3 linked regions of the Caenorhabditis elegans genome follow. The protein of the gene in region 1 purifies or fractionates together with the protein of each later gene. This does not show direct contact. Each region holds a gene or a part of one and is shown in the gene's direction. Other genes may lie near its edges.

Region 1 (4,787 bases):
TCTTTCCGTATTTCTGTACTGGATCCACATCTCTGATGAGTCTCTTGTAAGAATCTTGTTCTTGCTGAATTCTCAATTCTTCAGTTTTCTTACGAAATTCTACGGAAGCATGATATGTATGATCTTCGCGACGAAGTGTTAACCGATCGAAGAATACGAAAACAGGAATACCGTCAGGTAGTTTCGTCTTAAACGAACAATATAAAATTGTTGATTTTTAAATAAAACTTACTTTTATATTCACCAAATCTTTATAGCTCACGACATCTTTTTTGTAGAATTCTTTACATGATTTCGATACTTCAGGAGTTATTTTCTCTTTAGAACCAGCAACCAAATCGCGTAGGAGATTTTTATCTTCTTGTGACACGTTCCACTGCGCCATTTGGTTCTGAAAAATGATGTTTTATAAATTGTCGCAGAAAACAATGATAACGCAAGCAAAAAATATGGCAATATATTGAAAAGTATGGAAATATATTTCGGGGTTGCAATATTCAGATTTTTCCCGAATGATATCGAATGGAATATTTTAATTTTTGGTCGCCGTAAATCTACATGAAAGCTGTGCGCACGTTGCCAATAACCGTGCCGCACCATTGCAGTGGCCGGGAGCGGTGCGATTTCTAGGCCAGCAGGGCTCTGCCAAAAAACTTTTTGCAATTTTTGCTCTGAAATCTGCAGAAAAACGCGAAGGGCAGCCTCAAGGGTGATGTCACGACTTCCTTTTATGACGCAGAACACCCTTTTGGACCACCCAGCGTGTGAATAATGTTTCGCAATGCTCTCCTTTCCTACCGAGGTCCTTTTCACTCAACTTCACTGTCTAAACTCGAAATATTTGCTTTTATTTTCTAATAATATATCCAACTTTTATTAATTATTACAATAATTTCAGATGAAGTGGAGGACGGTATTCATTTTCCTGTTAGCTGCTCATATCGGACTTGCCAATGTTAAACAAAAAAAGAAGGATCTATCCAGTTACACGTGAGGTTATATGCAATTTTAAAGCCTCATTTTTAATTACAGAGATGCGGAGCTGGAAAAGCTGTATGAAGAGTGGGAGGAAAACGACGAGGACGAACTAGAAGAAGATGAGAAGCCAGAACACAAAAGAAAACCGCCACAATTGGATCTGGAAAGTATGAAGGCAAAAGTGAGGCGAATTTTTTTTGTGTAAAAAATTTCATAAAATAATTTATTACAGGCCAAAGACCCGGAGGATCTTCTTATGATGTCAAAGAAAGGCCAAACATTGATGCTCTTCGTCGGAGTTGTTGATCCATCGCAACCAGATCGCTCGGATATTCGCCCGTTCACGGAAAAATGGACGCAAATATGGCAATCTCAACTCTACAATAATCACGTGGATCTGCAAGTTTTTGTGATTGACGATAATAGGGCCATCTTCATGTTCAAAAACGGAGAACAAGCATTCGAAGCAAAGAAATTCCTTTTGAAACAAGAATTCGTTTCCGAAGTGACGATCGAAGGACAGAGCTTTGACGGACCTGCGAAGAAATTCAAAACTGGCAAGAAAGAGCTATAATATTCACATATCCTAGTCATTTGTATCAAATATTTATTTACGAGGTTCCCCAATTTCTCATGTGCCTTTTTGCATTTCACTTACTTTTTACATAATATTTCACTCATAAATTATATTTTCTAATTCATTAATTTCTATAGATTTTCAGACAGTTTCCAACTGTTTTGATATTTTTTATTTAAAATTGAATGCGTTTTTTAAAGTATTTTAGAATGGACGTTGATGTGGAAGAGGCGGCATTGGAGCAAGTAGCAGCTCTACTACAACGTCCTGATCAACTGGAAAAATTGCCGGAACTCAAAAAGAGAGCTGATAGAAAGAAGGTAAAACTAATAAATTCTTCCAAGTTTATTGAAGTGTGAAAAATTAAAAAATTTCAGCTCGCTGTCGAGGCTATGCTCCGAACTGGTGTTCAAGGTCAATTAGAAGGAATTCGAACTGCAATTGCTCATCTTCAAACCGCTTCAGATGATATTACCGCTATTTCTCAAGGGTATTTATTTTAAATTCACTTTAACGAAACATTTTTTTGATTTTCAGAGTTCACGATATTCGAGAGCGTCTCGGACCATTTCCCCAACTGAAAGAGAAACTTCGAGAACTTCGTGATGCCAATGCTCGTCACGGTCAATATGCAGCTGCAATGGAGAATTTGAAGCATATTTTCAATCTACAAACAACACTTCAAGAAATTCGTGATGCGCTGGATGATGAAAAGTCTGGAGGAAATCTGTTGTTAGCTCACAAACATATTATGGATTTGGAAAGAGCTCGAGACGAATTGCTGGCCGAAGTTCATAAAATGAGTGGAACAAATACGGAAAAAGAGCAAATGGTTATTTGTTTTTTTTTTTGTATTTTCCAAATATTTATAATATTATTTTTCAGCTTCTCGTCAATTTCTTCAAGGGAGTTGACTCGGTTGTCGCCGAATTGTCGAAGAATATGTGGTTTATTCTCGGTCGAACTTTGGAAATGGTTAAGGTAATTTTTTTATTCGAATATATATTGATATGGTTTAAATATCAACTGAATAAAAAAGTTAAAAAAAAAAGAATTATCGAATTTTCTCGCCGATTTCAGCGAATTTTTTTTGTTATTTTGATCCGAAAAATTAAAAAAAAAAAGAATTTTTTTGTCCTCCAAAACCTTGTAATAAAGTTAAAACAATTGCGAGCGGTCACTGTAGATTTGAATCTCTGAGAAAACATCTGGTTTTACGACATTTTGCAGGAAAGTGAATTTCAGAATAATTCAAAATTCTAAAGTTGGATAAACATTTTAAAAATTCATTTTCGTCCTGGAAACCTGCCTGAACTATTATTTTTCAGGGAAATGAGCAAGGTGGCGGACCGCAACAAGTTGTGACATGTCTTCGAATTGTGGAACGAGAAGAAAGGTAATAATTTCATGAGTTGTCGTGATCAGGGCTATTGCAAAAAGATATTCTACCAAAACAAGAAAATTTTATTTTAAATTTGGACCAAAAGACAAAAAATCGAATTTATGAAGAAAAAAAAACTACTTTTGATTTTAAACGGGACACAACGAGAAATTTTCAAAAATGTTAGAACCTGAACGAACGGAAGGATTTTTGTTTTCTTTTTGTGTTTTGCTGAATCAGTGTTGTAATTTTTCGGTTTTTTTTGGTCCCAAAAAATATTTTTTTTTCCCAAAAAACCGACAGCCCTGGATGTGATAACAAAGTTATATTTATTTAAGAATCGATAAATTCTACATGGAAGCTCGAAGCAAGAACTCATCGGCATTTGTTCCACCAGGCCGACCTCGTAACTGGAAAGAAAAAGCCTTACGATCACTTGAGAAGACTGTCTCAAATCGAGTAGATGGAAATCAACTCGAAGATCGATCTCTGAACAAAGCGTGGCTTGCTAGATATTTAGAAGTTTGTAAAAATGTAATTATGGATGATTTACAATTGGCAAAAGTGGCGATTCCGTGTTTCCCACCGGATTGGCAGATTTACGATCGATATGTTCACATGTATCACACATCTGTGTGTAGAAGAGTGAGTATTTGACTGAAAAAATCGATTGTTTCCTCATTTCCTTGCTTTTAGCTCCGAGAAGTGGCATCGGAACATTTGGAAAAAAGCGAGCTGGTTCAGTTGATGTCATGGATCAAATTTTACGCATCTGAAGATATGCTAGGACATCCGAAACTGAGGATCAATGCACAGGCTATATTACAAGATAGTCCTGTTCTGTCGAGAAGCACTCTGAATCAACTTTGTGATCAATTTGTTGAAATGTCGAGAGATGATCTGAAATTATGGCTGAAAAATACTGTTTCTCATGAGACTCATGTAAGTTTTATTTTTTTTTTTTAATTCTGTCTTGAAATTTTCAAATCATCAACAAAAAAAAGACTGAATGATAGAAAAAAACCGTAATAGTCAAAAAAAAACTTTAAAATTTTTAATTAAAAAAAAATCTATTTAGTTTCGACATTTTGTTTTTTCTGTTGAAATGTTCAGTTTTCATTGATTTTTTCGTTAATATTTGATTCGAAATGTCAAAAAAAAAATTTCAGACATTTTTCCGAAGAGAAAACTTGATTTCTCGTAAGAAAATTACTAAAACTTAAAATTGGCTCAGAAATTAAAAATTAAAAAATTTTATAATTTTTCTTTGTTGAAAAATGTCTGAAAATCTGACAAAAAATGTTGCAAATCAAATATCTATGAAAATGTCAAGAAAGTTCGATGAATTTAGCTAGAAAACGCGAAAATGTCGAAACTAGGTAATTAATTTGCGCGGGAATTCAAAAATAAAATCTATAATTCAAAATATAATTTTTCGTACAAAGTAATAAAAGTAAATTTTCTACAAAATTATTTATTCCAGGATTGGTACAAAAACTTGCGGCCAAGCGAGGACAATCATGGATATTTCTACACTGATCTGCCAAATACTGTTTTTGGAATGCTCAAGGACACGGTAAGTTTTTTTTCAAAATATTTGTAATTTCCGCTAGTAGAAACTAAGAAATTTCCTTTCAAATCCAAAAAAAAATGCCGAGGAATTTAAAAAGCCCGAGAAAAGAACGCACACATATTATTAGCAGCTTTTGCATACCCTCTCCGAGTTGGTTTTTTTTCTAATTTCGCAAAATTTGTAATTCCGCGTCGTAGTTCGCTTCACGTCACCATCATCACCACCTCTTGTCGAAATTCACCACGAAAGACGAAAAAAAAGACAAATGTGAGCGTTGT
Region 2 (4,784 bases), on another chromosome or scaffold:
TCAACGTGGAATCGGGAGTTCTTTTTGCACTACTCAATGCTTCTCATGCGCTTGGAGTCGAAGATTTGATGAATATGGGGTGTGCAGCCGCAGCAGAATTGATTCGAGGAAAAAGCACGGAAGAAATTCGCAAGATCTATGGAATCAGGTCAGATGAAGAACAAATGGAGGAAGCGTTGGCAAATGGTGGAGAGGGAACATCTGCAATGACATTCACAACGGATTCTGATTGATGTTTAATTTCACATATTGTGAAGAAGATGTTTGAAAGAATATATTTATACACTTTGATTCAAGTTTATTTGTGAATAAATTATTTTACAAACCTCATAAATGAAAAATTGAAGTTATAAGAATGTAAAAGAATAGTTGGAAAACAAAACAAACAACTAAAGTGTCACTACTAATTAAAAAATTGCTTAAAATTAAATATCAAAGAACCATATGTAAATCAAGTTCTCGTTGTTTCAGAATATGAGGTGAGCCCCCAAATTACCGGATTTTTATTTCCGATTTTTTCTGATTTTGCATCCAATTTGGCCGAACTTGTACATTTCTGGTGTTTATTGCAAAATACTAGGTTTTAAAAGAACTAAACGTTTATAAACTTCATGACGGAATTGAATGCAGCGTTCTGATTACTAAATCTGGAAAATTTAATAGTGTGCTTTTTTTTAAAGTTTTTTTTTTCATCTGCCTTAATTTGCCCTTTTTTGTGGAATATTATTTTTCAATTTTGTTAGTTAAGTAAAGTTTCACTATGCTCAATTCTTCAGACTTTGGGGGGATAACTTTTTCGAGAGTTGTGATTAAAAGATACATAATATTCATATATCCAGTGCCGGTTGTTTCCAATAATAGTTTTTATTGTATAGCTTTTTTCATGCTAATCCATTTCATCTAAAATTTTTTATGTATGCATTAGGACATTGCATTAGGACATGATAATTTCATCAACAATTTTAATGAAAACTGAAAATTGAACATTGAACAAAAATGTCAACAATGTTATACGAAAATTGTATATAGTTTTTCAAAAACAATTTTTAAATCTCCTGTAAGTTTTCCACGCAACTTGTATATTTTATAGGCTTAATTTAAGCAACTACTTGATATAGGAGCCCTTGAACAATTGTAGAATCTGTTTTGTAAAGCTATAACCCAATCATAGTTGTTTTAAGATGAATGAACCTAAATCAATATTATCCTTAGCATTCAAACACTGTTGTTCACAAATCAGACGGAAAAAACGGGCAGCATCCACGCTATTTTCCATCCACAAAAAAACCTCAATTTACAGAGCTTTTGTGTCTTCTATGTTTAACAGTTTAACATTAAAATTGCTTGGTCTTCCAAACGTTTTGGTTTTATTTCAAAAGTGGCCATGCAATTTTTTTCATAGTCCATTGCGTGATTGACTAACTGTCTTTCAAACTCCGTCAAAAGTCCCAATTACTGTCTACAACAACCTTGAAGACAAAATTAGATAGGATCTTGATTTGGCCGAGTTTTGAAATTATCCCATTTTCTCTCCCCTAAATCGAAACAGAACAAAGTTTCACAATTCCCTTATCATTCAAACTTGTCATCTCACCGGTACAGACGGACACGTTGACAACGGTCAGGCCATTTTTTGAATGTTTAGAATTTACTTTCCGATAATTATGCATGACAGCTGGAGGAATAACAACGAGACAGTTGACCTTGCAGCTGCTGTTGTGCCGGCAAAGAAACAAGGCGGAGTCATCATGAAGAGAAAGGGGAGATAAGAAAAGGCACAATTGAGATCGGAAGAGGCATTCAGTTAGTTTCATCGTCAGGATGAACCGCTGTATTCTTTTGCTCCTCGGAGCACTTCTTCTCGTTCAAGGTCTTCATGTTCACAAGAGGCAACAGAAATTGAGAACGTAAGTAGAGGTCGTTGGAGGTTTGTTGACACCTCATTTTGATCATCGATATAGTGAAAATGTTGGTCATGTTTCTTAATATTAGGTGCCACGCAAACACCTACTTATGACATAACTGAATAGGTGTGATAATGTGCAAGATTGATTGATACTTGAATCCTCGGTAATGAGTAACCTTGTTATCTGTTTCAATATTATATAATCCCGTCAGAATCTCATTTAGACAGGATACTATAAAGAACTGAAAGTTGTCCATTGTTTTTTATTGTAGTTTCAAATCTGATTTTGACATTAAAAAAAAAACCTAATAAAATTTTTCTAACTGTGAAAGGATTATTTAAATTCATTGGGTTTTGTTGGGAACACTTCTTTCTACTTTGATCATAACACTTTTTCTTTCTATTTTGTCTCACAAATCTAAGATTTCGAGAAGGCACATCATGCCACTTTTTCTCTCGATGGGTCACAAGACCCTCCTGCTTATCCCATTCGAGTTGATCAACACTGCTCAAAAATCCGAACAACAAGAACAAAAACAAGTGACCCACTCAGCAGTTGCTCAGTTCTTATTCTGCTTGCAGCGTTTCCCTGAAGAAGCAGCCGACTCTTCGCGAGACTCTTCTTCAAGCCGGTTCATTCGAAACCTTTGCCAAGCATCGTCATGGATATAAGAAGTACTTGAAAACCAATGGAAATCATCATTTCGACAAGTACCAAGCTTTGAATGTTGAAGGAGAGATTGATGAGCTTCTCAGAAACTATATGGATGTGAGAATTGAAACAACAAAAAACATATAACTAATCAAAGTTTTAGGCTCAATACTTTGGAACCATCTCAATCGGAACTCCAGCTCAAAACTTCACAGTCATCTTTGATACTGGGTCTTCCAATTTGTGGATTCCATCGAAAAAGTGTCCATTCTACGACATTGCATGCAGTAAGTATTTCATCACCAAATCAAACTGATATCATGCTTTTTCTTGTGAACTGATGCTGACCGAAACGTGTTTGTTTTTGACAGTTTTATGGTTTGGACAAACAAATAAAACACTTTTTCATTTCAGTGCTTCATCACCGTTACGACTCAAAGAGCTCGTCAACATACAAGGAGGATGGTAGAAAGATGGCAATTCAATATGGAACTGGATCCATGAAGGGATTCATTTCAAAGGATAGCGTTTGCGTCGCAGGAGTGTGCGCTGAGGATCAGCCATTTGCTGAAGCAACCAGTGAACCAGGAATCACCTTTGTCGCTGCCAAATTCGACGGAATCCTCGGAATGGCTTACCCTGAAATTGCGGTTCTCGGTAAGAGTTTGAAGTAGACTGGGATACACCCGGATAATCGGAAGGGTTCAGCATTTTGTTTTAGTTATAAAAGCTGTGCATTGAACATTTTGGTGTGAAGTAATAATAAGTTGCATCCTGTATGCCATCAAAGGTACAATAATTACAGAAAATGACTTTTATTTTCTGAGCACTTACTAGGTTTTCTCACTTCTGTAATACTCTATTGCAGGAGTTCAACCAGTGTTCAACACTCTTTTCGAACAGAAGAAGGTCCCATCGAATCTTTTCTCATTTTGGCTCAACCGTAACCCAGACTCTGAAATTGGAGGAGAAATCACTTTTGGAGGAATTGACTCAAGAAGATATGTTGAGCCAATCACCTATGTTCCAGTCACCAGAAAGGGATACTGGCAATTCAAGATGGACAAGGTTGTTGGATCTGGAGTTCTTGGATGCTCCAATGGATGCCAAGCAATTGCTGATACCGGTACTTCTCTCATAGCCGGACCAAAGGCTCAAATCGAAGCCATCCAAAATTTCATTGGAGCTGAGCCTCTCATCAAGGGAGAGTACATGATCAGCTGCGACAAGGTTCCAACACTTCCACCAGTCTCTTTTGTGATCGGAGGACAAGAGTTCAGTCTTAAGGGAGAAGACTATGTCCTTAAGGTTTCACAGGGTGGAAAGACTATTTGCTTGTCTGGATTTATGGGAATCGATCTCCCAGAACGCGTTGGAGAGCTCTGGATTCTTGGAGATGTCTTCATTGGAAGGTGAGCCATATCTTTTCTCAAATTAAACATTGACGAACCCAATGAAAAATCAGGTACTATTCCGTCTTCGATTTTGATCAGAACCGTGTCGGATTTGCTCAAGCTAAGACCGCCGATGGCCGTCCAGTTGATCCAGCTCCACGACCATTCCGTTCTGTCTTCGACAACGAAAGTGAGGAATCCATGGAACAAGACGACGAATAATCAACACGTTATTTTTCTCACAAATCCAGGTTTTTAAAATATTTTTAATTCATTGGCTTTATAAAACACTTTATGTTTAATAAATATTTTTCTATCAACACAATTGAAGGCACATAATCGAAAAATGCGATCATTTAGCGCCACTAAGCAACAGATGGACGAAACAAAATGTCTCCACTGTTTCCGCTATTGCTCGAATCGGTGAGCCATGAGTAGAATTTTTGAGACTCTGTGTGCTTTGTGGGGTCCTAGAAAAATAAATATAGTAGACACATCAAAATTGATAGCAACACTCACCAGTCCTTTTCCTCTTTGTGTTGATTTTTTCGGACTACTATTTCCTGATGTCTCATCTGGCTCTTTCGAGTCGCCAGCTCCAGGTTGCTTTTCTGGATTTTCATCTTCATTTTCTAGAGGTGTTTTTTCCTGAGGATTTTCAATCTTCTCATCTTCTTCATCATCTTTATCTTTTTCATATGTTGAAGGTTTCGGTGGACACATAGCGTATAAACTAGCAAAACACCCCGAACCAGCCCACTTCTGACAGGTCTGAAAAGCAAAAAAACAGACTGTGCATGAAAAATCAGTTGCTTACATTCAAATGTCCATA
Region 3 (6,881 bases), on another chromosome or scaffold:
AGCCAGTGACCACACAATGCTGACTCACGGGTGTGGAGAGATGCCGGTGGTGAGAGAAAAAAAAAGAAAAAAAACGTACACATTGGTCGCTTAAAATACATTTTTTTTTGCAGTGTGAGTCAATGCAAAATGCTCGAATACCATCTGGCCCGTTTCTGATGCAAGCCATCACACGCCGTTCCAGTGATTTTGTAAAGGAATTCTTGTTCACCAGAGACAAACAAACAGTGATGACAACCGCATATTACACGTACGCAAAGTGTGAACTGCAGGCAGTTATGTCGGGTAGCATTGGCTTAGTGGTTTACAATCAGGCTAAAAGCGACTTATTGGCAACGGTTAGATAGAGTTCTAAATTTGCAGTTTTTAAAGCAGAACTATTTTTTCAGCTGGAGTCTGCAGATCACGATGATTTTGTGTCGAGCATGAAAAATACATTTATTTACGGGAAATTCATAAAACGTTCGCCTTCGGAAAGCTACGTCCCCTCGGCGACCGTTTTTAAGACACTGACTTTCAGCACAATGCCGCCCCAAGTCAAATTGTAAGAACTACCAAATTTAGGTTTTTAACAATATTTTTCGTTTTAGCAAAAAATCGTCTCGACCGGTTCCACCTGGAAAAAGTCTTGGAGAAGTCGTCTCTAAAATGGCGGCAAGTCAGCCGCAGTACACTGTGCGATCTGCTCCGTACTCAAAGGGTCGAGCGGTAAGATTTTGATAAATGCATTAAGTTACTTGTCATGTCAGAAGGTACTACTACATATTGTATTATCACTATTAGACTTGCTCACCGATTGCTTCACGCTGACAGCTAATATCTCGATTTTCTTTAATTTTATCAAAACATTTTAACTGCGTAATTACGTAAAATAATTTTCAACATATTGACATTGTACTATTTTTGGTACAATTTAAGACAACCGAGATATAAGCTAGCAGGTCTAATAGGACAAGTTTCAGTAGTTACCAAGATTTAAAATACTTCCAAATTCGGATTGTCCAGCATATTTTGTGTGTTTTTTCTTTAGAATACAATAATTACTAATGGGGCTAATCAAGTAATGTCGCGAAATGTAACAAAATGTATTGAAATATACATATGTCCACATTTGTTTTATAAAAAAAAATTTAAAGGGGCGATAATACAATTTACTGTAAAAACTAATAAATAAATCAGATCATCAAAATCCCGACTTCAATTCGTAACCGCAACTACACACTTCCACCTGCAGGCCCACTTCCGCTGCGTCGCACTTTGATTACTACCAACTACACCATGTATCCAGTCAGAAACGCTGTTCAGTGATAATCTCATTTTGAAACTTACCCCCGATTTAATATAGCTACATGTCATTAATCATTTTCTTTTGTCTCACTTAAGTTTTCTGTTACTTTTTTTCTACTTTTAACTTATGCCTCAAGTCACTTCCAAATCAAAACCACGACCTTTTCAAACTCTCTGTTGTTTTTTTTCTGATCCGTGTAATATTATTTATTGTTTCTTTCTTTTTTACTTTTGCAGATTCTCCTAATTGAAAACTTTCAATTGTCATTTTTTTACGGTCCGTTTTAGGAATCGTGTTCTATTTAAATAATTGCCAAAAATAAATCTTTTCAGGTCAATCAATTCGTTTCAATTCTATTACTATATCTTTTGCAAGTGTAAAAATAAAACCAAATAAAATTATTTTTGCTTCCCTGCATTGCAATATAAATAGTGGTGTTCATCGAGAAACGCGCACGCTAACCGGCCACTGGCGTGTTTTTCGTGTACTAGTCACCACAGAAAACTGCAGAGACGCAGAATAACTCCGTATGTTTTTACTGGGCATAACTGTTTCCAATTCCCTGATTTTATTGTTTTCTTTTTTAATGCTTGGTTTAAGTTTAAAATTTTTATTATTCTACTTAATCAATGTGATTATATAAATTTTCAATTTCAGATTTGAATGTCTGCAATCAGGAAGATAATCCAGCGGCAACTTTTCCAGAAAGACGATGAAAGAATTCAAGCAATAGTCAATGTCTCAAAGTTGGATGGAAAAAAGAAGAAAAACCAGACACTACTATGTTTAGCAGGTAAGAATTCTTGGAATTGTCCTGTATAAAAATCGATAACTTGCAGTCACAATCGAGCACCCCATCGCCGTCCGTTTATACTTTGTGAAAGGGGAGAAAGATGATACATTCAAAAAGAAGGACAGGTTCAATTTGAGAGAAGTCAGAGAAATCGACGGAATAAATCCGAAAAAAGTGAGTATTTGAAAATTATATGGATTCACGCAATTTATACGATATATGTAGTGAGCAAATGTGAGCGTAACGAAGAACATAACGCAAAAAATGTGAAGCTTCTCGAATAACTGAGGATTTTCAAGTTTTACGAACACTAATGTTTGATGGAGTTTATCAACCTAAAATAGCTAAAAATTCGCCATTTTGCCGCAACTTTTCAACGATCTTTATCAATTGTAAAAATTGCAATTAGCTAAAGTTAGGTGAGAAGTTGTTGAAAGAATAGTTATTGTACACTAAATTTGTCGAAAAGATGATGCAAATTGCAGGAATTATTTTGACAAAATGGCTTATCAATTAGTTAAATTCGCATTTACTTCAAGTTTTTTTGGGTTTAAAAAAAATTGAGAATTTTATTCAACTGACAAACATTAAAAAAATTCAGGCATCACCAGAGTTCCACATCACTATCGGTGATCATCAATATGTGATTTTGGCTGGTTCCGCTGAGGAAAAGGACGAGTTCATTCGAGAACTCTACAAGGTATCCAACTATAATACTTTCAACTTTTTTACTGAAAATTTCGTATTTTAGTTGTCATGCCAATACCTTCCAGTCCAGATGCCAGATTTCTGCAATTTCTCTCTACCGCAACTTGAATCAGAAACCTCCATTATACCCATTGAGCTTCCTGAGCATGATATGGCGATGCAAAGTGATTATCAGCCAATATCCAACAAGGAGGACGCAGACTTTCGAAAGTTGATTGCGCGAGCTAATTTGACTATTGGTGAAGCACATATTTTTGCCGAAATGCTGACGGAGCAATTGCAATCTCTCGATGGAGCCAACATCAACTCTATGATGGACAGTGAGAATTCCGTAAACCAGTTGCTTTCGAGTATTGATGCAGCATTGACCGGTGTTGAGTCGGTCGAAAAAGAGCTTGATCGTTGTGATGACATTTTGGCGGTACTACATTGTAAAGGAATTTATTGAAATTTTAATCAACTATTTTCAGTTTGTGAGGAACAGTATCGAATTGATCGAAGAGAAAGATAGTTTATCGGTGGTTGAAAGAAAGAACAAGCAACGTCTCAACGAGGAAATCGTTTCATTTGTCAATTCGTTGCAGGCTGTTACTGATTCCCACATTGAGACTCTGAAACAAGCTAACTTCAGTAACCCAGAAAGGTAGAGTGAACAACTTAGAGTTTTCAAGTAATATTATGATACTTCAGTGTTCAAAGATGCACGGACGCTGCACGCGCTGTTGCACAATTCTGGCACGGGAGGATTTCTAAGCCAATGCTTCAAATGAAAGCCTATCAGGACAGAAATGATGAGCTTACCGCAGTGGATGTCTTTGTCGATAGGCTCATGTCTCACCTCTCTGCACTGTTCTCGAATTTGGTAAGTTTCAATGAACGTGTGCTTGCTTGCTCGAGGACCCCCTAAATTGTAGAAGTATTAGAGAATTCCGGAGGTCACGCTCTCGCTAAAGGACCCTCTGAATTTTTTGAAAATTTCAACCAAAATTCTCGAATTTCAGATATTTTACAGCGCATGCGAAGCTTTTTTTACATCACATACCATAATTTCACAATAGATTCACGTTAAAATGTGGAGTTTTTTCAATACATCTATTATAAATTTTAGAAGAATCCTGTAGCAAGCGCGCGCACTGTATAAAATCATTTTCAACGCGTGTTTTTTTTTCAGAACGACTTATCTTTGGATCATGAGTGGCATGAACTGTGTATTCCAAAACAGTCTCAACGCTTTCGCGCCCTTTCTCCACTCTCTGATCTTATCAACTGGCTGAAAACGAACCGTCCAAAGGCTTGCAATTTAGTCTTGCAAAAGTATATCGACAGCACGAATCTACTTTACAAACGTCTATTTGACAATTTCTTTGAGACACTGATCAACAAAGTTCCAAAAGCTAACAGTTCTGAAAAGAAGTCAAGTATGTTTGCTAATATTTGCAGCAAAAAATAATCATCTGATTTCAGAAGCAAATGAATCTGCAAACATTTCACTTCGTTCTGACAACCAGAGTTTCCTGAGCACCTCCAGTGAAATTGATACTGAAGTCTTACCGCAACTCATCGAAACGGTGCTGGCAGAACTGAGCGCTGTGATTGACGCAGAGCAAAAGTTCGTTGTCCGCTTCTTCCACATCAACTCGGAGCTGTTGGCTCAGTTCGATACGACTTCAACTGGAAGCGGTGATAGCTCAAGTCTCGGAGGACGTAGTATGGAGAAACATATGAACGAGCAAGTGAGACACGTTATGGGCAACTTGTTTGACTCGCTCAATATTCATCTTGATAGTTTCTGTCGGGCGGTTTGTAGGCACAATCCTAGGTGAGAAAAGGTACACGTACATATTATTTTAAATTCCTACACATTTTAGCAATGTTCTCCTTTTGTTTGTAATCATGTCGAAGAAAGTGCTTCTACCACAAGACCCAAGCTCCTATTTTTCGATCACATTTGGAAGTTTAGTTGTTCTGATAAAACGCCAGTTTGATGCATTTATTGTGAGTTCCATTTATATGTACTGTAATTGCAATAATCTTCTCTTCCAGCAAATGGAATGTTCCCAGTACTCGGAAGTTCGCATTGCTAAAAAGACTAGAATCGGAATTCTCCCATCAATTTTTCGCTTTGCAAACTTTGTGAGACGTGCTGAAATTATCTTTGAAAATGCCGAGAGAAGAACTGACTTGGAGAAGGCATATTTCAATCTTTGCCGGGCGGTTTGTGACGGGATACAAAAAGCTGCCGCCAATCAATACAGCAAGTCTCCGTCGTCTGTAGTCAAGTTTGAAAATTACCACGAGCTCTATTGTAAGTGTTCTAGGAAACAATAAAGTGTGATGGTGATAAATGTTTCAGTGACTTTGTCGGAGCTAAAAATCTCATGTTTGGATCAACAACGAAAAGATGCGAAAGCGCTCAAGGAAGAACATATTGATGCGTACGTAAAAGAGTTTATGGGTCGTCCACTCAAAGAGATTCAGGTGATATATAAATATGGAAATTTATGTTTCAATACTGTGCTGCCAATGCTTGAAAAAAAACTTGACTATTATGCTTTAAACTAGTTTTTTCTTTCTAATTTTGGCTTGTCATTCTACAACATTTGTAAAAAAAGGCACTCTACCATAGTTTAAAGTTGGAGTACCAAAATTTGAGGCTTTGCTATTTTAGACCCAACAATTCAGCGCATATACGCCCAATAAAAGACCAACAAATTTATTAAAGAGTGATCAATAAATAAAAATTAAGTTCCAGACGCTGCGACACCGAGAAGTTGTAAAAATTGTGATTTTAGCTGCAAAACCTTTTTTCCGACTTTGAACCTCCATAACTTTTTTTGAGGAATTTTCAAAACATCTCATTCGAATTTCGGTACTCCACCTTTAAACAAAAATCTCCCAAAACTATCGATATGTATTCCAAAAATTTCAGACGTTCTTCGACAATGTCAACAACTTTATCGAAACGCGTGGAATTCGTCCTGATGAAATCTCGTATCAACAACAATTCAGTCGCATTGAGCTTAAAAAGGTTGAATTTCTAGTTAATCATCAAAATCGCCATTTCATAAATTTTCCAGGTAATTTCACAACATCCGGGAAAAGAAGTGAAAAAAGGACTCGAGCAACTGTACAAGAAAATTGAGAAGAACCTGGTTGCCAATTCATCACTTTTGCAAGTTGTATGGAGAGATATGCAAGAGCAATTTGTCAAGCAAATTGCGGAATACAACAAACTGATTCTCACTTGTTACCCAGGCTCGAAGATTGAGCTCGAAGTTTCCACTGACACTGTACTTCAGTTCTTCTCAGAAATTGCTCAACAACACTAATATTACGACGAATAATTTTATTGAATTTTGTTGTTTTAATTCATTTAAAATTTAGTTTTAATTTATCAGAACTCTAATACTTACTGAACCATGCTTTGTAATATATTTATTTATCTATTCTGTAATAGGTGAACTTCGTTACATTACTGATGTCTGTAATATAAATTTACGGGTGTTCCCCATTCGAAAATAGTAGTAATGCTTGCTTTTTTGAAAAATAAATGTCTTGCTTGGTGACTTTTATTTCACGTATTTTCAAATGCTCACAAAAATTTCACGGAACTGACTTCTTGGTTACACATTTGTAGAAATTTTGACTGAATGTTTGCATTGAACTGGTCAACTTAAGAATCTGACATGCAAATGGTGTGTTTTCTGAAGAACACACTTTGGCAACTTTTAATAAAAAAGGGGTGTAACACGATTTAAATCTAATAAAAACAACTTCTATAATGTTATTCCGTTTATATCTCACTTTATGTTTTACATTTTACTCTTATATACATTTTTTGACTCATTTATACAGGGTGGTCCATAATTATGGACCACCCTGTACTTATATCTTATTTAAAACTATTTCATGTAAGAATTGTTTTAACAGCGCATTTTTTTTCATCACTCGATTTAAAGGTAAAATTGATAGGCCGCAATCTATTTTGGAAAACTTCAGAACAAAATTTAACATTTTAAGAGGTAACTGTGAAGGTTTATAAGAGAATTATAAACCGATCTAACCACTAAACATGGTAACGTAGAAAAAGTA

Evidence for each region. Proteins that work in one complex are often made in the same cells at the same time.
Region 2: the proteins of sec-6 (region 1) and asp-4 fractionate together in Caenorhabditis elegans (co-fractionation; one large-scale study listed by BioGRID). This does not show direct contact.
Region 3: the proteins of sec-6 (region 1) and sec-3 fractionate together in Caenorhabditis elegans (co-fractionation; one large-scale study listed by BioGRID). This does not show direct contact.

The regions. Positions count from the first base shown.
Region 1 is NC_003280.10:5,357,797-5,362,583, forward strand, and holds the start of sec-6 (Exocyst complex component 3), read left to right. Parts: upstream 1-1,755; 5' UTR 1,756-1,764; coding exon 1,765-1,875; intron 1,876-1,932; coding exon 1,933-2,045; intron 2,046-2,092; coding exon 2,093-2,387; intron 2,388-2,440; coding exon 2,441-2,536; intron 2,537-2,883; coding exon 2,884-2,951; intron 2,952-3,274; coding exon 3,275-3,581; intron 3,582-3,632; coding exon 3,633-3,878; intron 3,879-4,419; coding exon 4,420-4,512; intron 4,513-4,787. Other genes in the region: F09E5.11 (Transmembrane protein 199), read right to left, coding at 1-187, 233-385; bmy-1 (Boca/MESD chaperone for YWTD beta-propeller-EGF), read left to right, coding at 899-990, 1,033-1,159, 1,211-1,552. UniProt on the Caenorhabditis elegans protein: Component of the exocyst complex involved in the docking of exocytic vesicles with fusion sites on the plasma membrane.
Region 2 is NC_003284.9:13,218,465-13,223,248, reverse strand, and holds asp-4 (Aspartic protease 4), read left to right. Parts: upstream 1-1,786; 5' UTR 1,787-1,821; coding exon 1,822-1,907; intron 1,908-2,488; coding exon 2,489-2,675; intron 2,676-2,721; coding exon 2,722-2,845; intron 2,846-2,972; coding exon 2,973-3,215; intron 3,216-3,426; coding exon 3,427-3,970; intron 3,971-4,023; coding exon 4,024-4,174; 3' UTR 4,175-4,264; downstream 4,265-4,784. Other genes in the region: skr-20 (Skp1-related protein), read left to right, coding at 1-233; R12H7.4 (G_PROTEIN_RECEP_F2_4 domain-containing protein), read right to left, coding at 4,318-4,422, 4,472-4,723, 4,770-4,784. UniProt on the Caenorhabditis elegans protein: Aspartic protease, which is part of the necrosis cell death pathway. Involved in neuronal cell degeneration. Involved in heat stress response.
Region 3 is NC_003284.9:3,094,908-3,101,788, reverse strand, and holds sec-3 (Exocyst complex component 1), read left to right. Parts: upstream 1-1,936; 5' UTR 1,937-1,951; coding exon 1,952-2,081; intron 2,082-2,127; coding exon 2,128-2,255; intron 2,256-2,682; coding exon 2,683-2,781; intron 2,782-2,832; coding exon 2,833-3,210; intron 3,211-3,259; coding exon 3,260-3,432; intron 3,433-3,479; coding exon 3,480-3,651; intron 3,652-3,725; exon of another isoform or gene 3,726-3,861; intron 3,862-3,960; coding exon 3,961-4,207; intron 4,208-4,253; coding exon 4,254-4,608; intron 4,609-4,657; coding exon 4,658-4,784; intron 4,785-4,832; coding exon 4,833-5,094; intron 5,095-5,142; coding exon 5,143-5,267; intron 5,268-5,718; coding exon 5,719-5,817; intron 5,818-5,866; coding exon 5,867-6,118; 3' UTR 6,119-6,361; downstream 6,362-6,881. Other genes in the region: ztf-13 (C2H2-type domain-containing protein), read left to right, coding at 1-49, 114-338, 390-544, 591-708, 1,180-1,308.